Drosophila melanogaster: one gene and its partners. The protein of the gene in region 1 interacts with the protein of each later gene in a pairwise test. Each region holds a gene or a part of one and is shown in the gene's direction. Other genes may lie near its edges.

Region 1 (5,469 bases):
ATCAAAGCGCAGTGATTGCTCTACCCAGTCGCGTCCTTCCTTGAATTCTGTGTAGATGTTATTGAGAAAAATAAGGAAAGTATTTCCATAAACTAATGATTTTGTGCACATTAGGATATAGGCAACTTACCATCATCCAGTCCCATTATGTACATGGTATCCAATGAGTCAACAATGGTTAGTCCCAGACCGAACCACTCGTGGGAGTACTGGGAGATGGGCTTCAGGTTGTCGTGGCCCCAGGCATACTTCTTGTAGCCAGCCCAGGAGTGCTTGAAGGCGGCTACAACAGCCGACTGTCTTTCGTTGGTGGCGCCATGGAAGTGCTGGCCCTTGGCCAGAATGGGCTTGATCTTTTTGAGATGCTCTTTGAAGCTAACGCCGCCCAGAGTGAGTGGGTTCTTGATGGCTTGCTCAAGCTGCTCGCCCTCGCTAAGCGGCTCTGCTGGATCCTGGGCGACGGGCTCCTCTACATTGTTTAGGATGTCGATTCCACCGATGTCCTGCTCCTTGTTACTATCGGGGGGAGGCAAGGCCACGGCCATGGCCGAGGCCTGGGGAAGTCCTTCAGCAGCCACCGTCTCCGGCAGACGGGCCACGTTCTCCGCTGAGTTCGCTTCTCCATAGGCAACTAGCTCATTAAACTGAAATTGATTGATATTGAGATATCATTAATAGATTTTACTGGAAGTGTGCTGCGTGGGCAATAAATCAAACACCAATAGTCAATCGTATTGATACGCATGCTATCTTAATAGGCAAACAACTCCAGCCACTTAGGCACTTATCAATTAAGTGGGGGGCCTACTTACCTTATCACTAACCGCCTCCACCCGGGGTGCTCTCTTATCGGCCGGAACAGGTACCGCAGCAGTGTCTTTGGGCACATCCTTATCCACCCCCGGATGATGGTGCGGATTGGGCAGGGGCATTTGATATGCTGCCACCTCGGCCTTGGTGTCCACATCCTTTAAGCTGGCAGCCAGCAGCTGATCGCCACTTAGGCAGAGCAACACTGTCACGCAGAATCCGGTGATGCCCAGAATAATGAGATTGCGCTGACAACGCGGTAGCTGATTCCAAGCCTGAACCGTGAGACAAAAGATCGTACTTATAAGTTCTGGGTTTCTTGAGGATGTCCCAGGACCCCAGCAACTGGACTTCTGCCAGGTTGCTACCTACCCGACGCAGGCTCTTCCTGCCCCGCTCGTCCGTCGTCGCCGCTGATCCCGGCGGGAGTGTGAGCGTTATGTGACCGCCGTCCTTCATAGTGTTTCACTAAATGCCGCCGCCGGAATTCAGAGTGTGGGAAAGTTGGATGGGAAATTCCACAGCATTCGCCTCGAATAAAAATCGATTGCTGTGCGCCGCTGGCCGCGGAGGAATCGGAGCTAACTAACCAAGGTTGGTCCAACTACTACCTCTTTTATGCCTTAATCATCTCTATACGTGCCAGTGCATTAATTTATATATGCTAGTTCTGGCCCACACTATGCAAAATTACAAATAAGAAATTCTAAAATTATTTCACGAGAGCTGCATTTTTGAGCTGCAATGCTGCCAACTTGTTCTTCAACAGTCCGGCCAAAACTAAAGATGGGGCTAGCAATCATTTACTTTTGAAATACCTCTTAAATAAAAAAAAAGCAAATTAAATTATATTTTAGATATTATCACTACTTTATAAAAGAATTTTTCTAAAGAATATATATTAATACGAAGTGGCTAATTTTTTCGAAAATCCAGCTAACACAGTATGAATTTAGCCAAATCTAGAGTGGCCAACACTAGTCCCACTTAACAGTGATTTATTTGGCAGCCCTGGTAAGCTCCAAGTGTGCCCACAATACGGCATTAAAGTGGTCACATCTGGTCACATCCCATTTTCACATCAAAATTTCGACGGAAGTCGGTGCGTAAACCCATAGCCCATTTTTAGTTAGATAATAGCACTTAAAACCCAAAAAATAACACCTACAGCCGGCAACGATAGCGATAGACCCATAGGAAAGCGAACCGCAAACCGACGATGCTCCGAACCCGACTCATCCAGGCGGCCAGCTCCGCCCAGCGAGCGTTCTCCACCAGCCAGAAGGCCCTGGCGGCCAAGCAGATGACCGTGCGAGATGCCCTCAACAGCGCATTGGACGATGAGCTGGCCCGCGACGACCGCGTCTTCATCCTGGGCGAGGAGGTGGCCCAGTACGACGGTGCTTACAAGGTGAGATCTGCGACTTTTCCTGCCCCTGCGCGATTACGTAAACAGCAAGCAGGCGGTTGCGACGACGACAGCTGATGCAGGTGGCCGGGATGGGGGAAGTTGGTGGTCAGCGGGGTGATATATGCGTGCTATATGTAACTACTGATAGTGATTCCGAACAGGTCGACGCGAATCCGAATGCGTGATCGGAGTGGGCAAGGTCACGCAGAATATGTGTGACCGACTGTCTGCTGATTATATAGATTGGCCCATAAAACAACGATTTGTTTACCCATTTGAGGTGGATTGATAACCGGCGTTAGCAATTCTATCCTATTAGATTCATTTAAACTATGATTGTGGCTACTGGTGTAACAACTAGATAGGACACGCAAAGTACAATACAATTACCTGTTAGAATAATGGTATTTCCTGAAGAAATCTTAGTTAATGAGTTATCAGCTTGGAAAGTTTTACAAACAGATAAAAGGTTCCCATCCTGAATAAGCCCTACATATTTTTCTGGTATCCTAACATTCTATTAATCATTTAATGCCCTTTTTAGGTTTCCCGTGGACTGTGGAAGAAGTACGGCGACAAGCGCGTCATCGACACGCCAATCACAGAGATGGGCTTTGCCGGCATCGCTGTTGGCGCTGCCATGGCCGGTCTGCGTCCCGTGTGCGAGTTCATGACCTGGAACTTCTCCATGCAGGCCATCGATCACGTGAGTTGCCTCATCCTTGTCCTAAGAACCACTCCCCGCACTCCAGCAGTAGGCTAACTACTCATATTATCTCATTGCCAACAAAACGTAAACCAAAAGAAAGAACACGACAATCCAATACAAATGCCTCACAACTCCAACAGCTAGCAAATAGACCAATTCAAGTGCAATATGCAGCGGCGCTTAATGGGATAATATGGGTGGATTAGCTCCTGCCCCAAGTCATAGATCGGACCTCACTAATCCCCACCCATATTATCCGATTATGTGCAGGCAAAGATACTCGATTGCGCCAAGCCGCCAGTCGGTGATCGCCCTCTGCCAATAAGCCTCATAATTGAAAGTCCACGCTCAACTTGGCTGAATGAGATCAACGACATCCTGCACAGAGATCGAGTCGGCGAGGTGATTGCGCCGCCGCTGGACAAGAGCAAGTCGGACAAGATGGAGGCGGCCCGCCTCATCGTCATTCGGCGGCGCAAGATGAAGAAGCACAAGCTAAAGAAGCTGCGTCGCAAGATGAAGTTCGAGTGGGCCAAGGTGCGCCAGCGCCGCGAGATGCGCAAAGAGAAGGCCTTCCAAGCAAAGCTGATATCCCAGATCAAGCAGGCGGAGGCATTCAGTGCGGAGCAGCACGTGGCGGAGATCCTGCGGCAGGCCAACGAGACGCCGCTGCCGCGTTTCTGGAAGGGACGCCGCCTGCCGGCATTTATCATTAAGCAGAAACTAGGCATTAAGTAAAGATCAAGACGGAACAGAAAGGAGTGCATCAAATAAAGCGTATTAACTTGAATTGGCGAATTTGCAGTTTGATGGAACAGGCATCCACACTGAGCATTATTTTCATTCATTTTTCACTTTATTATTTCTAAGTCATATTACACATTCATAATAATATGGATTGCTAAAATATATCCCTTTAAAATTTCAAATCTTAGATCATCAACTCGGCGGCCAAGACCTTCTACATGTCTGCCGGTGCCGTCAATGTGCCCATTGTGTTCCGTGGTCCCAATGGAGCCGCTTCCGGTGTTGCCGCCCAGCACTCTCAGTGCTTCGCCGCCTGGTACGCCCACTGCCCCGGCCTGAAGGTCCTTTCGCCATACGATGCCGAGGATGCCCGCGGACTGTTGAAGTCCGCAATCCGTGATCCCGATCCAGTGGTCTTCCTGGAGAATGAGCTGGTCTATGGCACGGCATTCCCTGTGGCCGATAACGTGGCCGACAAGGACTTCTTGGTGCCCATCGGCAAGGCCAAGGTAATGCGGCCGGGCAAGGACATTACCCTGGTGGCGCATTCCAAGGCGGTGGAGACATCGCTTCTGGCAGCTGCCGAGCTGGCCAAGAAGGGTACGGCACTGTTTTACTTTGAATGACGCGAAAAGTAGCTAACCTTCTCTTATATGTTTAGGTATTGAGGCTGAGGTCATTAACCTGCGCTCCATTCGTCCTCTGGACACGGCGACCATCTTCGCCTCTGTACGAAAGACCCACCATCTGGTGACCGTGGAGAACGGCTGGCCCCAACACGGTGAGTGGGAAATTCAGCTAATTGAAAGCCTAGCGATATTTATAAATTTTTACCCTCTTAGGCGTTGGAGCTGAGATCTGCGCCCGCATAATGGAGGACCAGACCTTCTTCGAGCTGGACGCCCCCGTATGGCGCTGCGCCGGCGTGGATGTGCCCATGCCCTATGCCAAGACGCTGGAGGCCCACGCCCTGCCCCGCGTTCAGGATCTCGTGGAGGCGACTCTTAAGGTCTTGGGTGGCAAAGTGGGCAAGGCCGCTGCGGCCAACAAGTAGGAACTCAGGACTAGCCAGCCTCCCGATCGGAACCCCCAGCTAACTAAATTTATAGTCCAAGTCGAAACGCTGCCTCTGGTCTAACCGAGCTGCCCCCATAATAGTGCACCGAACTGGAAATTGAATGTTCTGAAAATAAAGCACTACCGCTTTCGGGTTTTGATTAGTTTTCGGACGTTCTAGTTTAATTATTTGGTTATAGAAATCTCTTGTGAAAAATAAACGAAAACATAAATACATTTTGAGTGCTTATATTTTGGTATAGTTAATGATATAATATCAGAAGATAAAAAATATATAATTCTTATCGTTAATGATTGAAGTTTAAAAAGTGCGCGCACCGATGAAAACGTTTTCCTATTGAACGCTGTCCAACACTGACGACATCTATTTTTTCGATATCAGCCTATCGTTTAGCAATAGGTGTCCTCATATCGATAGCGATAATAGCAAAGTTAACAATAACAAAAGATATAACATAACAAATAATTGCAATGCTTTGGCTGTAATGGCAAACAGCTCCAGCTCCGACGAAAGCTGCAAGGCCCCCGACAACTTTCGCATCTCGAGCGCCTCCACAAACGGCGAGGACGAGGAATCAGATGTCGCAGGATACACAACAAAGCGCAGGCCAACGGCAGCGACGAAGGAACTGTTGAAGGATGCGAACGCCAAGGATAGGAACGCCACCACGGGAATGGGTGCCCACATGCGGTGCCCACTGTGCCACAGCTGCAG
Region 2 (4,841 bases), on another chromosome or scaffold:
TAATCCCGCGGACGGCATCTGGAAACTTGCGGATCGGCGAGTTTGTCTCTCTTTCGCACTAGGGGGCGCCAGCTAACAATGTTAGTAATATCGTAAAATGTCTTATGGCTATCAACAGATATCGCATTTAATGATCGAAACTATGACAGCTTGACAACTGCCAAACGGGCGAAAAAACTAGTGGAAGATGCAAAAAAAAAGAGGAATTAGATGCAGACCGTTAGAAAAACTCCATCACTCGAGTCTTACGTACTCCCCTCTCTTTCGGAGACACTTAGTCCCTCTCATTCGCACTTTCAGTCGAGATCGCTGGAAGTGGGCAATGTTCGATGGACTTTTGTTGAGTTCAGGGGAGGTGGGTGGTGGGTTAAAACTCCCCGATCGATAGACCACGCCCACTGGCAAGCCGCTAATACGATTTCGATGGATGCGTCTGTGTGAGTGATCGCTCTCATTGATCGCTCTCGTTTGCATGGGTAGCTCTCAGCCAGCTGCTCTGCATTGGTCAGCGAAACGAGAACATATATGCCGGGTATATAACTCGCCCGATGCACGGGAGATGGCCTTATAGTCCGGTCTCGTTTTCGCCCACGGCAAACGGGATCGGCTCGTTTATCTAAAACACCCGACGACGACTGCAGCACGATCCCGTTTTGCGCTGGTGTTAGTGGATTCCGCTCTCATGAGCACGCCGCTCTCTTTACCGGTTGTCTGTGTGAGTATACTGGATATAACGGTGCTCCGATTGTGTTAATCGAGCCAATCAAATGTGGTAACGAATTCTTCGAGTAGATATATTCACGAGAGTGTGTGCCCTGTGAGTGAAGCACTCAAAAGCCGCACAAAATGGTGAGCGATTGAGAAAAACAATCGAGTGCAATATTCAAAGTGAGCAACTGGAAAAATAATGATGTATTTGGAGGCAAATATTGTATATTGTATTGTATCTTATTTTTTTGAACTAATCAAGTATGTTATATTGTTAATTTACTATATACCACATTTGATCAGCTTGCCATAAATATTCCCCAGTTATATAACATTGGACACTAAATCAACAAAACTATGTTCCTTAACAATCGTTAAATTTATTAAATTATATTATATTTATCTAACGAATAAAATTGATTATAAATAAAGTAGAAAAAAGAAAAAGGAAATACTTAAGATTGGTCAAATTAAACAACACGCTAAATAGACTTAGATTACATCTTAAACGACTTATATTTGTTCGCAGTTACTAGGAATTTATTATTATATCTTAACCGAGAAATAAACTGTGCAATTTATATATATATTGCAAACACGACATGCATTTTTTTCTAAATTTGTTGGTGCCTTTTCTATAGTTATAGTTCGTATTTATGTTAGTAATTATACGTTTTTAATATATGTTCATATGCATTTACTCAGTTTCAGCTTGATCTGTGAATACAACTCAATAGCCGAATCGACTCGGATTTGAGTTAACATCACTCAAACAGCGGCTCACACAGACAGGCAATTTGAGTCAAAGTCGCTCTTTTAAGTCTCACTCTCGCTCTCTCTCTCCCTGGTTGTCTTTCGGTTGGGGGTTGAGAGTTCGGGTGTATCACCGTTAGAGAGAATCGGAATCGTCTTCTTCCTCACACACACAATCGCACCCCAGCTGGGCTCGAGTTTGTCGCTTTTGCAGTCTTTTGTTTTTGTTTCGGTTTCTGTTACTGCTTCTTCGACCAGTTTGTAGTTTTTGTTTATAGTAGTATCATCTCCCCGGCCAGAGATATTGTTGTTGCTACTTCTCTGGTAGCCGAAGTCTCAGCTCAGTGTGCTACCGAGCGTTCGTCGGATGATATTGCAAAGCATCTGAGTCGCCGAGTCGCAGCGGTGTGAGCACTTTGCAGAACTGCTTAACATCAGTCTTTAGTGATAGCTCGCGCTTCTTGCTCGCACGCTCGATCGCACGTCGCCGTCGTCGTTGCGTCGTCTTCGTCTTACGTCCCAGGCGTTACGTTGTTTTGGCCGCCGCTAAAAATCAACACATGCAAATTAAGATCAAAAAATTACTCAGTTAAATAAAATGAATTGTAACAATACTACGAATATGTATATGTAGTGCCAACTGAAATAGTAGAGTTCAGTCTGTAACACGTCACTGCAAAAAAACTCAAAAGCGGCAAACGAAAGCGGAAATAAAGAAATTTACGGCAAGTGCGCGTGCGCAGCCAGGAGTGCCCTCACACAAAGGTGTGGTCACTCCATAAAAACTCGCATTCAAAACACAGAAGGCGTAAAAACAGCACCAAATAAAGTCCCACGGAAATATCTCTAGCTAAATTAAAATTTAACCATACTGCAAAACTTTAAAACTTTGTATTACAATAAAAATTATACAAAATATTGCCTCCTTGTGATATATGTACACCCTGCTATATGCAAAAACACACATACTCAAACAACCCAAAAGATATATATTAAACATGCTTCACGCTCGCCTAAAGTTCTAAAAGTCAAGTGCAATTTGAGCAAAAACAGCAACAACTCTATACGCTCAAGTGACGTTTTATTGGCGCAAGGTGAACAAAAAATAATAGCAAGCAAATACACGAAAATACACAAAACCTTAAACGGAAAGTTCACAATGTTAGGAGACGCAGACCTTAAGTGCGCAACGAAATAGAAACACTAAGCAAATAAATTGGATTAACTTGATAGGCTGATCGGTCAGTAAAAGCAGGTAAGTTCAAAGGTTCAATGGCGCCCTCAAAAAAAAATATAGAAGAAACGGAACGAACGGGCTTTTTTGAGACACATCCATCATGCGGACATAAAAATGGGGATAGAGATGGGGCTTCGGAGTTGTAGATGGGGAACATGTGAATTTCATTAACGAATAGAATTCATAAAACAAAAAAAATCAAGATGAAGATGGCGACGCCAGATAACGCTTGACAATCCGACTAACTGACGAACTGTCTACGACTGTCGGCGGGGTTTGTATGATTTAATTATACAAACCATATACACACTCCCCTATATGACACTTATACGACAGCCCAGTAGGAGCTATAGCCCCCAGCTACGGTTTTGTGAGAAAGTTTTCTCTGGCCGATCTTTGTTGACCAGTGCACTTTTTAGTGTGGCCATAAAACATGGCTAGATCAACAACAACAACCATGCAAGGGCAAGGCAAATAAACTTTACGACTATATAACAGAATCAATGTAAGTCAAGTGCGAGCGAGATGGCCTGCACAGATATAGTCGCCGCACATGTTTGCTTTATAATGCAAATAGCGTGTATAGCTTTATTTGCCAGAATATTTGTTACAAAAATTCGAAAACGCAGGCGAAATCCATGGGAATGGCATTAACTGCGGCACTGAAAGAAATTATTGCGCTCAATAGCGAAGGAACTAAATGGAAAGTGGTGCTGCCTAATCCATCAAGGATCAAAAATAATTATTTTGATAAAATAATTCTTAGAATATTCAAGCTGGAAATTTGTGAACATTTTAGTTTGCTTGATGCTGCAGCTTAAATAATAATTTATATAATATTCTATTGATCAATGAGAAATGCCTATCATCTAACTATATTTACAAAGAAGTGACTTTTCAATTAGAAATAAAGTGATCATTCATTTTTGGAAATTCAGAAGATTTGTATCTAAAAAACTGATAATTTTTTAAAGTGCATTTTGCCCTGACTCGCTTGCAGGCAAATGAAGAATCTAACTTGGATTGCTTTTGCATGTGTCGCAAATATTGGCAGAACCTATATACTCGCACTTATGGCGAGTGCCTTGTAAGTTTGCCATGTTCTACAAATCGCAGAGTGCGCACTTATTCTAGTTAGCTGGGGCAATCTTCTTCACTGGTTGATTTAGCTGGCACCTTTTAAGATCACAGCTCTTTCCTGAGGCTGTTCCTTAGACCAACACTCTAAAAAAAGGTATGCACCTAATGCAAAATTGGATATTTGGATATTATTATATTACACTGAAGTCCCAACGATTTAGTACAAATTAAGGAAACTTAGAATATTATCCATATACTTAAACTATCCTTTCAATTTTTTACACGGTATAAAGATAATTTCTATGTTTAAATTATCTGCAATTGTGCAATTGTATAGAGTTTCAGATAGTTCCCTTTATTGTAACACAATTGTAAAAGTGTATCTCGGACGGATGACTGACAGAAGTGGCTGGGAAATTAACACATCAAGGTCGTGTGCTGACTTTAACAGTCCACATCCTTAAGGGGCCCGAGTCCCAGGCCGGAAAAGCCAAAGGAGAGCAGAAAGGGGGCGCAATGTGTGAAAGTATTTAGTGCGGACGCGTTAACAGTGGCAGGAAAACAAGCATACAAAATATCAAATGCAAATGTGGCAAGCAGGCCGCAAGGTTTCAAGACAAACGGCAAGCAGCAAACACCTGTTGTCAGTTAACATGCCTCCTCGCTGCGAGGGGCGGGTGGTGGGGATCCGACCTGGCCGAGTCTTCTGCCCAGAAGTGGGTCCCCATGCGAGGTGACTCACGGAGCTGTTCTCGGGGTTCTTCTTGAGAGCCGCTGATGTGAGGCAGCTGATTGTCTTCGTCGTTCGTTTTTAGGTGCAGCTATGCAGCCCAGTTCCGCCAGCATTTGCATCGCGATATATAATGATATTACTATGGTTATTATTATTATTAGCTGGCAGCTTGGTTAAATGTCAGAGTACCAAACGGATTAGGAGCTATTCTTCAATCAGTTTAAGGCAAAAGCTCGATTAAACAAGTGCAGATCAAATATCAGGGATATTGACCCACCTTTGGAATAACCTGATCATATAATAAGTAGTACCAAGCCATTTAGAGGTCAT
Region 3 (4,863 bases), on another chromosome or scaffold:
TTGTGCTTCATCCGGAGGGGAGTATGTGTGAAGAGTAGGCTGATCAAACAGGCTTTGGGAAAACGGCAACTAAGTGGCAAATGCGACGCAGTTTCAACTCGAATCTAAATATGTAAGTATACACATACGTATGTACATATGTAGGTGTTGCCGCATACATATTATCAATTAGCAGTTCAGAACAGTTCACTGGCTAAGCAGATCGCTGATAACGTGGTCGAGAATCGGCGCAAACACGCGCCGCCCTCGGGAGCCATGGGAAATAGTTAAGTTGTTTGGGACTCCGCCGGGCCTTCTGGGCTCCGATCAATGGGTTAGTCGGACGTGGCCAGATAAGCGGGCTGCGGACCTTGAAGAGCACCAAATGCAAAGTGAACCGAGACTAATAACCGGGCGAGGTCAACCCATTGTAGCCAACCATCCAACTGACCTACCTTAAATGCTTAGTTCACTCGACTTCGAAAGGGACGTGACTCCTGGGGCTTCACTCCAACTCCAGTTGCTGCGCTTGCTCTGTTTTTTTTTAGTGCACTCAAACGAAAAAAACTCGATCACCTGCAGTCGCGAGGAGAGAACTGTGAACCGTTTTGCACAATGTCTGCGATCGCACTGAAAACGAAACAAGGCACGGCGTCGGCATCGAGTGTTTTTAGTTTTAATCAATTTTAAATGCGAAGGCGTCGTGTTTTGCCGCTGTGTGAGTGGCTACCACGCAGCACACACACATGGGAAAGCCGCTCGTGCACTGGAAGAAATGGCACGGATCTGAAATGGATTTAGGTACAAGTTTCCTATTCATTCAGTTAATATATCCAGAAAACATAAATACTAAATGCTACTGCTTAACTTTGGGTACATTAAATTCAATTCCTTGTAATGAAATAACTAGGTACATACGCATTGTTTGGAATGTGCTTGTTTCTCCAAGTGTACGTCATATGTGCGGTGTAGCAATGAGTAGTATTTCCAAGAGTTTCTTGGGGTGCTGCCATAGTCTGGAAAGCGTCTGGTTTCTACATCTGTGGTACACTGGTACCAAACATTTGTTTGTTTTGATCGCCGTTTCTTTTAGTTGCTTTCATACATATGTTTTGGACTGTTTTGGCTAAATCTGTGCGGTGGATACACTTACCTTCTACCTGGTGTTCATCGCAGATCAGCCTTGTCCTCGCCGCACTTCCGCCCTCGCTCTTTGTCACTCTTCTCGGTCTTGCCTAGTCTTCCTTTCCACTTTTGCCTTTTTATTGTGCTCCGATGCATGTTGATTGTCGTGGACTTTGCACCCTCAGTTTTCCGCTGTTGTAATGCTCGTTTTACGCATTTACAGGAATATAGTCGACTAGGAAAGCACTCTTTACCCGTTTAATCTGGATTTGTCAGCCGATAATTCAGTGGAATTAATTCTGTTGAATTCATAAATAAATAGATAAATTGTATGATTCATTAACCTATTTATTAATTGGTTGATAGCTTTGGGATAGTGATTAAACTCAAGCAATTCACCGATGCAATCTATTGTCTTGAAATGATAAGAATTGAAAGAATGTTGCTATGAATTTAAAAATCTTTAATGAGTGGCTGCCACTTTAATCTAATTCCACGTAATCTTAACTTTCTGAAGGTGCTGGAAACCCATGACACTTTAATTTTCAGAACATTCAACCTAACTATAAATTCAAATCGAGTGGCAGCTCCGATAACGGTCACAGCTGCTAAGACCAGGGCGGCACACTGTGTGCTGTCGCCCGATAACTTCTTTGTTTTGAACTCACGGGAAAGCAACCCTGCGTGTGCTCTCGCCAATTGGAACTGCGAATATACTGCCTGTGTATATATGTAAATGTTTATAATTAGCAATTTTTCTACGAAACAAACGATTAAATAATGCAGTTTTCTGCCTACTAAATGCCAAATACAACACACAGACTTCGAGCCACGAACGGTGATGTGATCAGAGTACTAGAGTAATCCAACGAAAAACGCGAGTCCATTTTAAAGCGAAGTATAAAGTGCCAAACAAAGGGAGCAGTCGAACCCAGTCCAAATCCAATCATTATACTCGGTCCGTGACCTGCCGACGAGCCAGCGAGTACGGCAATAAGCATGGGCAACGCCAGCTCCTCCGTGCACATGCAACGCGAGCGCCACAAGTCGACCGACTTGTCCACGCCGAGCTCTCCCGCACATTTCCGCGATTCGATTGGTGGAGGAGGAGCGGGACAGGGCGGGAGTGCTGGCGCAGCAGCTCTGGGCGCTGCAGCGGGGGCGGTGGGAGCTGCGGGGGGTGGAGGAGGAGGCGGCGGAGGCCAAGCTTTCTCGTTCGACAAAAAACATACGGCAGTCTTGAACGAGGGCTCGTCGCAAGAAGACGACGACCCGTACTACACGGGAACTGGAACTGGATCCACTAGACGAGGCACCGCACACGACGACGCGACATCAGCTGTTACCCGAGACCACTCCAGCATGGACAACAACGAGGAGGAGGAGGAGGCAGCGGTAGGAGCGGAGCCAGCGACTGGATCTCAGTTAACCGGCGATGAGGACGACATCCGGAAGACGGCACTGCCCACAGTTCTGCGGTGGGACGGCGGCGGCAAGAACGTCACCATCTCGGGCACATTCTCCGATTGGAAGCCCATGGCCATGGTGCGCAGCCATCAGAACTTCGTGACCATCATAGATCTGCCGGAGGGCGACCATCAGTACAAGTTCTGCGTGGACGGCGAGTGGAAGCACGATCCCAAGCTGGTCAGTTGGGCGGAAAATCAATATATGCAGCAGGCTATTCAGTGTTTTTGATTCGGGCGCCCGAATGACGCAGTTACCGATTTTCGCCCCGGGTTGTGTAATCGCCGTAAACAAAACGAAGTCTCCCAGTAATCGTAGTGGATTTCAATTGGGTTCAGAGATGCTCATCCGGCTTTAGCTTTTTTTTTGTTTTTTTTTTGAGGAACCCCGTTCAAATGCTTCGCAAATAACAAATGCAATTAAAGTTACAAGTTTAAGGGAGCAAACTGCGATAAAACCCATTTGTAGATTACTACTAAATCCGGTTGGATGTCGCTAGTTTTGTGGACACAGTTTATCTAAGTGACCATTGAACATTGCTATCAGGCGAACAATTTGAACTATAGAAAAGATTTAAGGGAATAGTAACGTTTTCTTAGATAAAATATTTTTCTGGATAACAAAGTTCAGGACTGTGATAGAATATATGACCTACTTCGCAATGTTAAAATAGTTGCAGAATTGCATGAAGACGAAAAGCAATCAGAAATGAATTACTAAATGCACAGACTTTAAATCTTTATTAAGAATAGTTCACGAAGCTCACGTATTTAAACCATAATGGTTTTAATGACTAATAAATAATGTAGTTTATCTGACATTTAAATTAGTAAGCAAAACGAAAGCAAACCATTGAACAAATTTTTGTATTATATATATATGTAGCAAGCCAAATTGTTGTATATAATTCAAAATTGCTCGAAACAAGTAGCAACAGTACGTTATTAATTATAGAAAGCAGTCATTGCCCAGCCACATTTTCATGAAGTATTGCCCAATTTTTGTTTTATCGCAAACTCAGCTATCAAGTTTCATGAGTTTTATTGAACTCAACCCGAGGCCTGCAGATATTGTCCCAATTGCCCAAACTATTGTTACAGACAATTTGATTATAGCTTATCGGTTTGCTATTTTAGAAAAGCGTGGAGAACGCCGAGGGACAGAGAAATAACTTAGTGTCCGTGCGAGAATCCGATTTCGAGGTGTTCCAGGCCCTAGCCAAAGACAGCGAGAACGTGACCAACTATGCGGAGAAGGAGTACTCGCAGGAGGTGCCGCAGGTGAAGCCCTGGGAGAAGGTATCTGGCCCGCCCGTTCTGCCGCCCCATCTGCTCCAGGTCATCCTCAACAAGGATACACCGCTATCGGTGGGTATTGTCGCTGTCTCGAGAGCTACCGACCGTAACCTTACCCTATTCTGTTTCAGTGTGAACCCACTCTGCTGCCGGAACCCAACCACGTGATGCTTAACCACTTGTACGCCCTGTCTATCAAGGATGGCGTCATGGTCCTGAGTGCCACGCACAGGTATCGCAAGAAGTACGTCACCACGCTGCTGTACAAGCCCATTTAGGCAACTCGCAATTGGTATTTTAGCTGTAGGAACATGGTTTTTATGAGGGATACCACGTCCCGCTTGTCAAATTTACCTTATTATGAGTAAAAGTGTTTTAGTTTTCTCTCTATTAAGCGTTGTATTTTTATTAGTTATAAATATACGGAACTTGTAAAAATATAAGATTATTGCATTGTGTCATAATTTGTAATTTGTATTTGAATTTACTACGAATCGTACAGCTTATTTGCAATTTCAACCTGATATGTCACTAAAGTCACGATCTAAGAGTAATTTAAGCAACTATGCATATTGACTGACTGATAATTTGGTTCCCTGTTCGCTGTATATAAGTATAACAACACTTTGGATTTTGATCAACGTTTCATATCACATGTGTACAAGAGTCTTCGCCGACGGCAATCTATCGGAATACAAACATTCTCGTATATCTACGTGTTCAACTGGACAAAAACTGAACTAGACTAGCGGACCGACCGACCGACCGACCGACCGACCAGCTTCACATCAGCTTGACCTTGTGGTCCAACTGATCGGCGTCGATCTTCTTGGCGAACAGCACCGGTGACGAGGAGGCCAGCGCCACCGTCTGCTTGGCCAAGAATCGCTCGTGCATCTTGTTGGCCGTGTGCTGGAACTCGCCATCCTCGTCGAACAGCGCCTTGGTGAAGTACTCCGTGAAGAGGCGGCCCATGTACTGGTCTTTGGTGGACGGC
Region 4 (5,020 bases), on another chromosome or scaffold:
CCCAACAGTAAGCCCAAATAACCATTTTCCCAATTCGATCATCTTATATCTGCATTCTTCCAATGCTCTTTGCAGTTAACGAGTTTCCTGTTCTTAAGGCTGCTGCAATTAAGTATGTAATGGTGTTCCGCAGCATTTTGGGTCCCCAAGTCTTAGCAAGCTGCCTGCCCCAGCTAATTCGACATCTCCCCGCCGAAAGCTCTGTTGTTCATAGCTATGCTGCTTGTTCAGTGGAGAAGATCCTTTCTATGCGGGATGCTAGCAACGCGATCGTTTTTGGTCCTCAGATTTTAGCACCTTACACAACTGAACTAATTAGTGGGTTATTTGCGACCCTTTCACTCCCAGGTTCCGGTGAAAATGAGTACGTAATGAAAGGTGAGTTTGGGGGACTATCTCATACGTTTCTAATATGTTAACAAAACTCTAATTATTATTATTAGCCATTATGCGAAGTTTTTCGGTCTTGCAATCGGCCGCCATGCCCTTTATGGGCGTCGCCCTTCCACGGCTTACCGAGATTCTCACCCAAGTGGCCAAGAATCCATCGCGTCCGCAGTTCAACCACTATCTTTTTGAAACGCTGGCTCTGTGTATAAAGTAAGTGTTATGCATTTTGGTGGTAAAGAGCAATAACAAATTTTCTTTTTCCCTAGAATTGTTTGTCACGCCGATTCCTCGGCTGTGAGCTCCTTTGAGGAGGCATTGTTCCCAGTTTTCCAGGGCATCTTACAGCAGGACATTGTCGAATTTATGCCCTACGTCTTCCAGATGCTTTCTGTGCTGTTGGAAATGCGCGAGGGCACTGGTACCATACCGGAACCCTATTGGGCTTTGTTCCCCTGCTTGTTGTCACCAGCTCTGTGGGACAGGACGGGCAATGTCACACCATTAATTCGCCTGATTTCTGCTTTCATCAAGCAGGGATCTGCTCAGATTCAAGCCTTGGGTAAACTGGTAAGTTATATTATACATCACAAATTTTATTTTACAGAGTCCAATCTTATGCATTTTTCAACATATATTTCAGAGCGGTATCCTCGGAATATTCCAAAAGATGATTGCCTCCAAGGCTAATGACCATGAAGGGTTTTATCTTCTCCAGAATCTGCTTTCCTACTACCCTCCCGCTGAGATTCAAACTAATCTTCGTCAGATCTTTGGCCTGCTCTTCCAGCGATTGTCTCTCTCAAAGACTCCGAAGTATTTAAGCGGCATCATTATCTTCTTTAGCTTTTATGTGATTAAGTTCAGTGGCAGTCAGATGGCTCAATTGATAGATGAGATTCAGCCTAACCTATTTGGCATGCTGCTGGACCGCGTGTTTATCACCGAAATGGGCAAGATTCCCAAGGAACAGGATCGCAAAATGGTGGCCGTGGGTGTCACTAAGCTACTTACAGAAACTCCTGAGATATTGCAGCAACAGTACGCTACTTTCTGGCCACGACTGCTGCATTCTCTAATCGATCTTTTTGAACGACCACCAGAGAAATTGATGGGTCTCGAAATAGGAGAGACAGCTGGAGTTGCCGAAGATCCCGATGCGGGCTATCAAGTGGCATTTGCCCAACTGACTCATGCCCAGCCCAACCAGCAGGATCACCTGGCTGAGATTAAGGATGCTCGCCAGTTTCTAGCAACTTCGCTCTCTAAGTTTGCCCAGGCTAGGGCAGGAGAATTTTCCACTTTGTTGTCGCCCCTGGAGCCGGAGTACAAGCAAGTACTCCAGAAATATTGTGATCAGGCTGGAGTACGCATTGCCTAAAGGAATCGACCGACTTTAAGCTCATTCATCGCAATCAAACCTCGCCATACATTCGAAAATTTATGCATACACGCACTCGATCACTCATTGCATGCCCAGTTTATTGTCATTTAAAAATTGTATCTAATATATGTAAGTTTTGTAAACAATTAAAAATTATGTTTTCCGAAACTAGTGTGTTTCAACTGCGATAACTTCTGAATATTTCATACTTTTCTCTCTGATAAACAAATCATTTCTTGTCAAACACCCTTCACTCAATTTCAAAATTGTGAATTTAGAATTAACTAGATATTTCGAAATTTATCATATAAGCCATGTTCAAGCTAATAACGTATTTCAAGTCACGATCGAAGAAAATAGGCGTGAGATGCTATCAAAGTAAGTACTTACCATGGCTAGACCCTTCTCCACAGCCAAACAGAGCGAGATATGCACTAAAGAGTCTGTAAAATATGGTGAGACGAAGGTTATCAATTTCGTTTGCGTAATCCTTGATTTTGTGCGTGCTTACAAATGCTCAGGATTAGGGCGTTATGTCCTTCGCCTTCGTTGTGTCCGCTTATGAAGAAGAACCAATCCAGTGGATTGATGCGAATGCCATACCTAAAAAAATAATGAATTAGCTAAAACTTGTATTTCTACTCAAGATCATCGTAGTTACTTTAGGAGATTCTCCAAGCCCAAACGCAGACCTCCAATGCAGAGCAGTAGAAATCCCCAGTTCACCAGTCCAGAAAAATTGGTAAATCCAGAGCTCCAAGAAAACAGAGAATCTCTTGGCCGATGGATTCTAAAAGAGGCGAAACCCTGTATTTGGGCTAAAGTAGTTTAATTTCCCTACTTACGGTCTGCCAGGCTGAGCTCTTCTCTGCTTCTCCTCTTTATTGGAAATCTCCTCAGCACGAGTCACACTTTGTGTTCTCCTGTATCTAAGCTTCTTCTCGGATCCGTTGGTTCCATTACCATTTTCATCCTTATCCAAAACTTTACGATACTGTCGCAGATCTATGGGATTCCCGTGCTGATCGAATAGATTTTGTGTTGACTTGCGGTTTCGCAGACTGCTAAGATTATGCTCTGTGGCGGACGCCGATCTTCTCAAGCGCTTCATGATACCCACACCGCTGGATCCGCTATTCTTGGTCGGTTGTTCTGCTTTCCCGGGCTCCTTATCTTGGGGATCCTTATTGGTGGTCATGGTGATGGTCTCTATATTGAAAGAATTTCAATTTATAGTGATTACTTCTAGCTTATCGCAAATTCCGTTTGCAGTTGAAATGCAAAGATAAGATTTGTTTTGGTACCCCTTATAAAATGTTTGAGTGCTTTTATTTTGACACACAAATAACTCAGATGGGATCCCAGGAGGTTGTAAACAGTGGAGGCATTTTCAGAGTCGCTTATCTATTGAATAAATACGCAACTGAGATAAGAAATAATGAGGGTAATTAAGTAATAAGATGTCTTAAGCACATATCTTGTTTTTTATTTATGAAAATCGTTTTATTACTTGCTGAAGCTGGTCATATATTAGTTTATTAGTAAACAGAGCTATATGTATGTTAGAGAATAAATAGATCCATACAAAACCAGAAGCAAAATGCGGCTTGAGGTCAAAGTTCAGCTGACTGAGAGATTGCTGATTGAGTAATCAGATACCGATTTGCATAGACATTGAGCCCGCATTTGATAATGTGGTTAAGCCAACAGCTTCTCACTTAAATCGTTTAAAACCAGTTGTAAAGCTGCTACGATCGTACTTGACATTAGCTCCCACAGTCAAGATCGCATGTCAACCAAATGGGAGGGCATTATCGCCGTTAAGCCTCAAAGTTTCAAATCCACATCCACCTTTTGCAATGAAAATTGTATAGAACTCAAGAATCATCAACAAATAAACGGTTGATATGTGCAGATTCTATTTTTGAATACAAATGCGATTCAAGTTATAGATTTGCGTTCACGTAACTTGTTTTTGTTAAACAACGAGTAGCAAGATACGATTAGGAAATTGTTGTCTCAGCAATTATTTAATATTTATAAATCAGTGAAATACCTACATATATGTATGCAACTAAAATTAATGACGAAATTTGTGTGTGTTATCTGTTGAAAAGATATCTTAGGTAACAAAATCTACGTCATGTTACGAAGGCAACCATTTTTACCTAATTGTTTTATGCGAGTAGTTTGTTGATACCTTGTTTATTTGACATCAAAGTTCGATCACTATCGCTGCTTATCGCTAATGAACCGAAAAATCAATTTAAGTGATCGTGGATGCCAACCTTTTCAGTAATGGCTTTTGAAAGTTGTAATGTATACGATTCGAGTTCAGGATTGAAATAATTTATGGTTTTGAAAAAAGGACAGATGAAGAATTTTAGCAATTTTTGTCTCGCAGCGTGTATTTAGTATTCCACTGGCGGAAAACACAAAGTTTTACATAATTATTCAGTGCGTTGAACTGATCCAAGTGCAACAAAGACATATACTCCAATCTCATATGTTCGTTCATGGGGAGTTCAGTACGATTTCAGTCGAGTCACCGTGACGCAACGTCATTCAGAACTTCAAGTCGGAGCTCGTTATGGCCCATCAACCGAATGATGAGTAATTTACAGGCATCGAGGACCGAGGCAGTCCGAGATGTACATGAAGCATTCAAAGAGAGATTGCATTATATGCACCCATTAATATACATATTATAAATCCGTGCAAATAAGTTAATCAGGATAGAACTGTAGAGATATTTTGAAGTGCAAGGTAAAAGAAGAAAGCAAAGTCGACTCATTGTGGGTTCTTATTAAAAATGTATATTTCAACGTCTAGCTTCATTTGAGTTATATATTTATAAATGCGCTACAATTGTGACCTCTGCTGTTTGAATAGATATGTAAGAACACACATATACAACCCGCATGTGGAAACCGAACCTGAATTGAATGCTCTCTGCGGTTTGACGATTAGTTTGTTGAACTTTCGGTTTATATTTAAACAATCGAAGGTGGGGGCGGTACAGCGGTAACTGCAGCAGAATGATAATGGATCTTGGAAAAGTTTCGTCTATTTATTGAGCACTGTTGATCTTTATTTTGTGCTCTGCCCTAGGGCGAACTTAAAATGGTGAAAATATTCCAAACATTTTAGTTGTCCATGTAGGACGGATAATTACTGTCGGAACCGGTTGCGGCTTTATAAGGAAGAACTTTCCATAGCGATGATAAAAGTAGGTCAGTAACTCAAGTA

Evidence for each region.
Region 2: the proteins of Pdhb (region 1) and knrl interact in a two-hybrid assay, tested with the Drosophila melanogaster proteins (one large-scale study listed by BioGRID).
Region 3: the proteins of Pdhb (region 1) and alc interact in a two-hybrid assay, tested with the Drosophila melanogaster proteins (one large-scale study listed by BioGRID).
Region 4: the proteins of Pdhb (region 1) and CG13280 interact in a two-hybrid assay, tested with the Drosophila melanogaster proteins (one large-scale study listed by BioGRID).

Annotation. Positions count from the first base shown.
Region 1 is NT_033777.3:29,111,229-29,116,697, forward strand, and holds Pdhb (pyruvate dehydrogenase E1 beta subunit), read left to right. Parts: upstream 1-1,842; 5' UTR 1,843-1,912; exon of another isoform or gene 1,913-1,980; 5' UTR 1,981-2,029; coding exon 2,030-2,221; intron 2,222-2,765; coding exon 2,766-2,927; intron 2,928-3,200; coding exon of another isoform or gene 3,201-3,668; exon of another isoform or gene 3,669-3,718; intron 3,719-3,865; coding exon 3,866-4,277; intron 4,278-4,338; coding exon 4,339-4,458; intron 4,459-4,519; coding exon 4,520-4,731; 3' UTR 4,732-4,969; downstream 4,970-5,469. Other genes in the region: alpha-Man-Ib (alpha-Mannosidase class I b), read right to left, coding at 1-47, 131-644, 813-1,085, 1,183-1,269; Atg14 (Autophagy-related 14), read left to right, coding at 5,240-5,469. UniProt on the Drosophila melanogaster protein: The pyruvate dehydrogenase complex catalyzes the overall conversion of pyruvate to acetyl-CoA and CO(2). Might play a role in regulating synapse structure formation at neuromuscular junctions. Might play a role in maintenance of mitochondrial morphology.
Region 2 is NT_037436.4:20,617,617-20,622,457, reverse strand, and holds the start of knrl (knirps-like), read left to right. Parts: upstream 1-1,798; 5' UTR 1,799-2,716; intron 2,717-4,841.
Region 3 is NT_033778.4:9,134,840-9,139,702, reverse strand, and holds alc (alicorn), read left to right. Parts: upstream 1-1,769; 5' UTR 1,770-2,103; coding exon 2,104-2,751; intron 2,752-3,707; coding exon 3,708-3,938; intron 3,939-3,997; coding exon 3,998-4,144; 3' UTR 4,145-4,328; downstream 4,329-4,863. Other genes in the region: Hydr1 (alpha/beta hydrolase 1), read right to left, coding at 4,650-4,863.
Region 4 is NT_033779.5:16,818,072-16,823,091, reverse strand, and holds the start of CG13280 (uncharacterized protein), read left to right. Parts: upstream 1-1,998; 5' UTR 1,999-2,085; coding exon 2,086-2,149; intron 2,150-2,161; coding exon of another isoform or gene 2,162-2,214; intron 2,215-2,282; coding exon of another isoform or gene 2,283-2,374; intron 2,375-2,432; coding exon of another isoform or gene 2,433-2,561; intron 2,562-2,616; coding exon of another isoform or gene 2,617-2,969; exon of another isoform or gene 2,970-2,980; intron 2,981-5,020. Other genes in the region: Cse1 (chromosome segregation 1), read left to right, coding at 1-7, 76-378, 444-600, 657-957, 1,031-1,768; mdy (midway), read right to left, coding at 2,162-2,214, 2,283-2,374, 2,433-2,561, 2,617-2,969.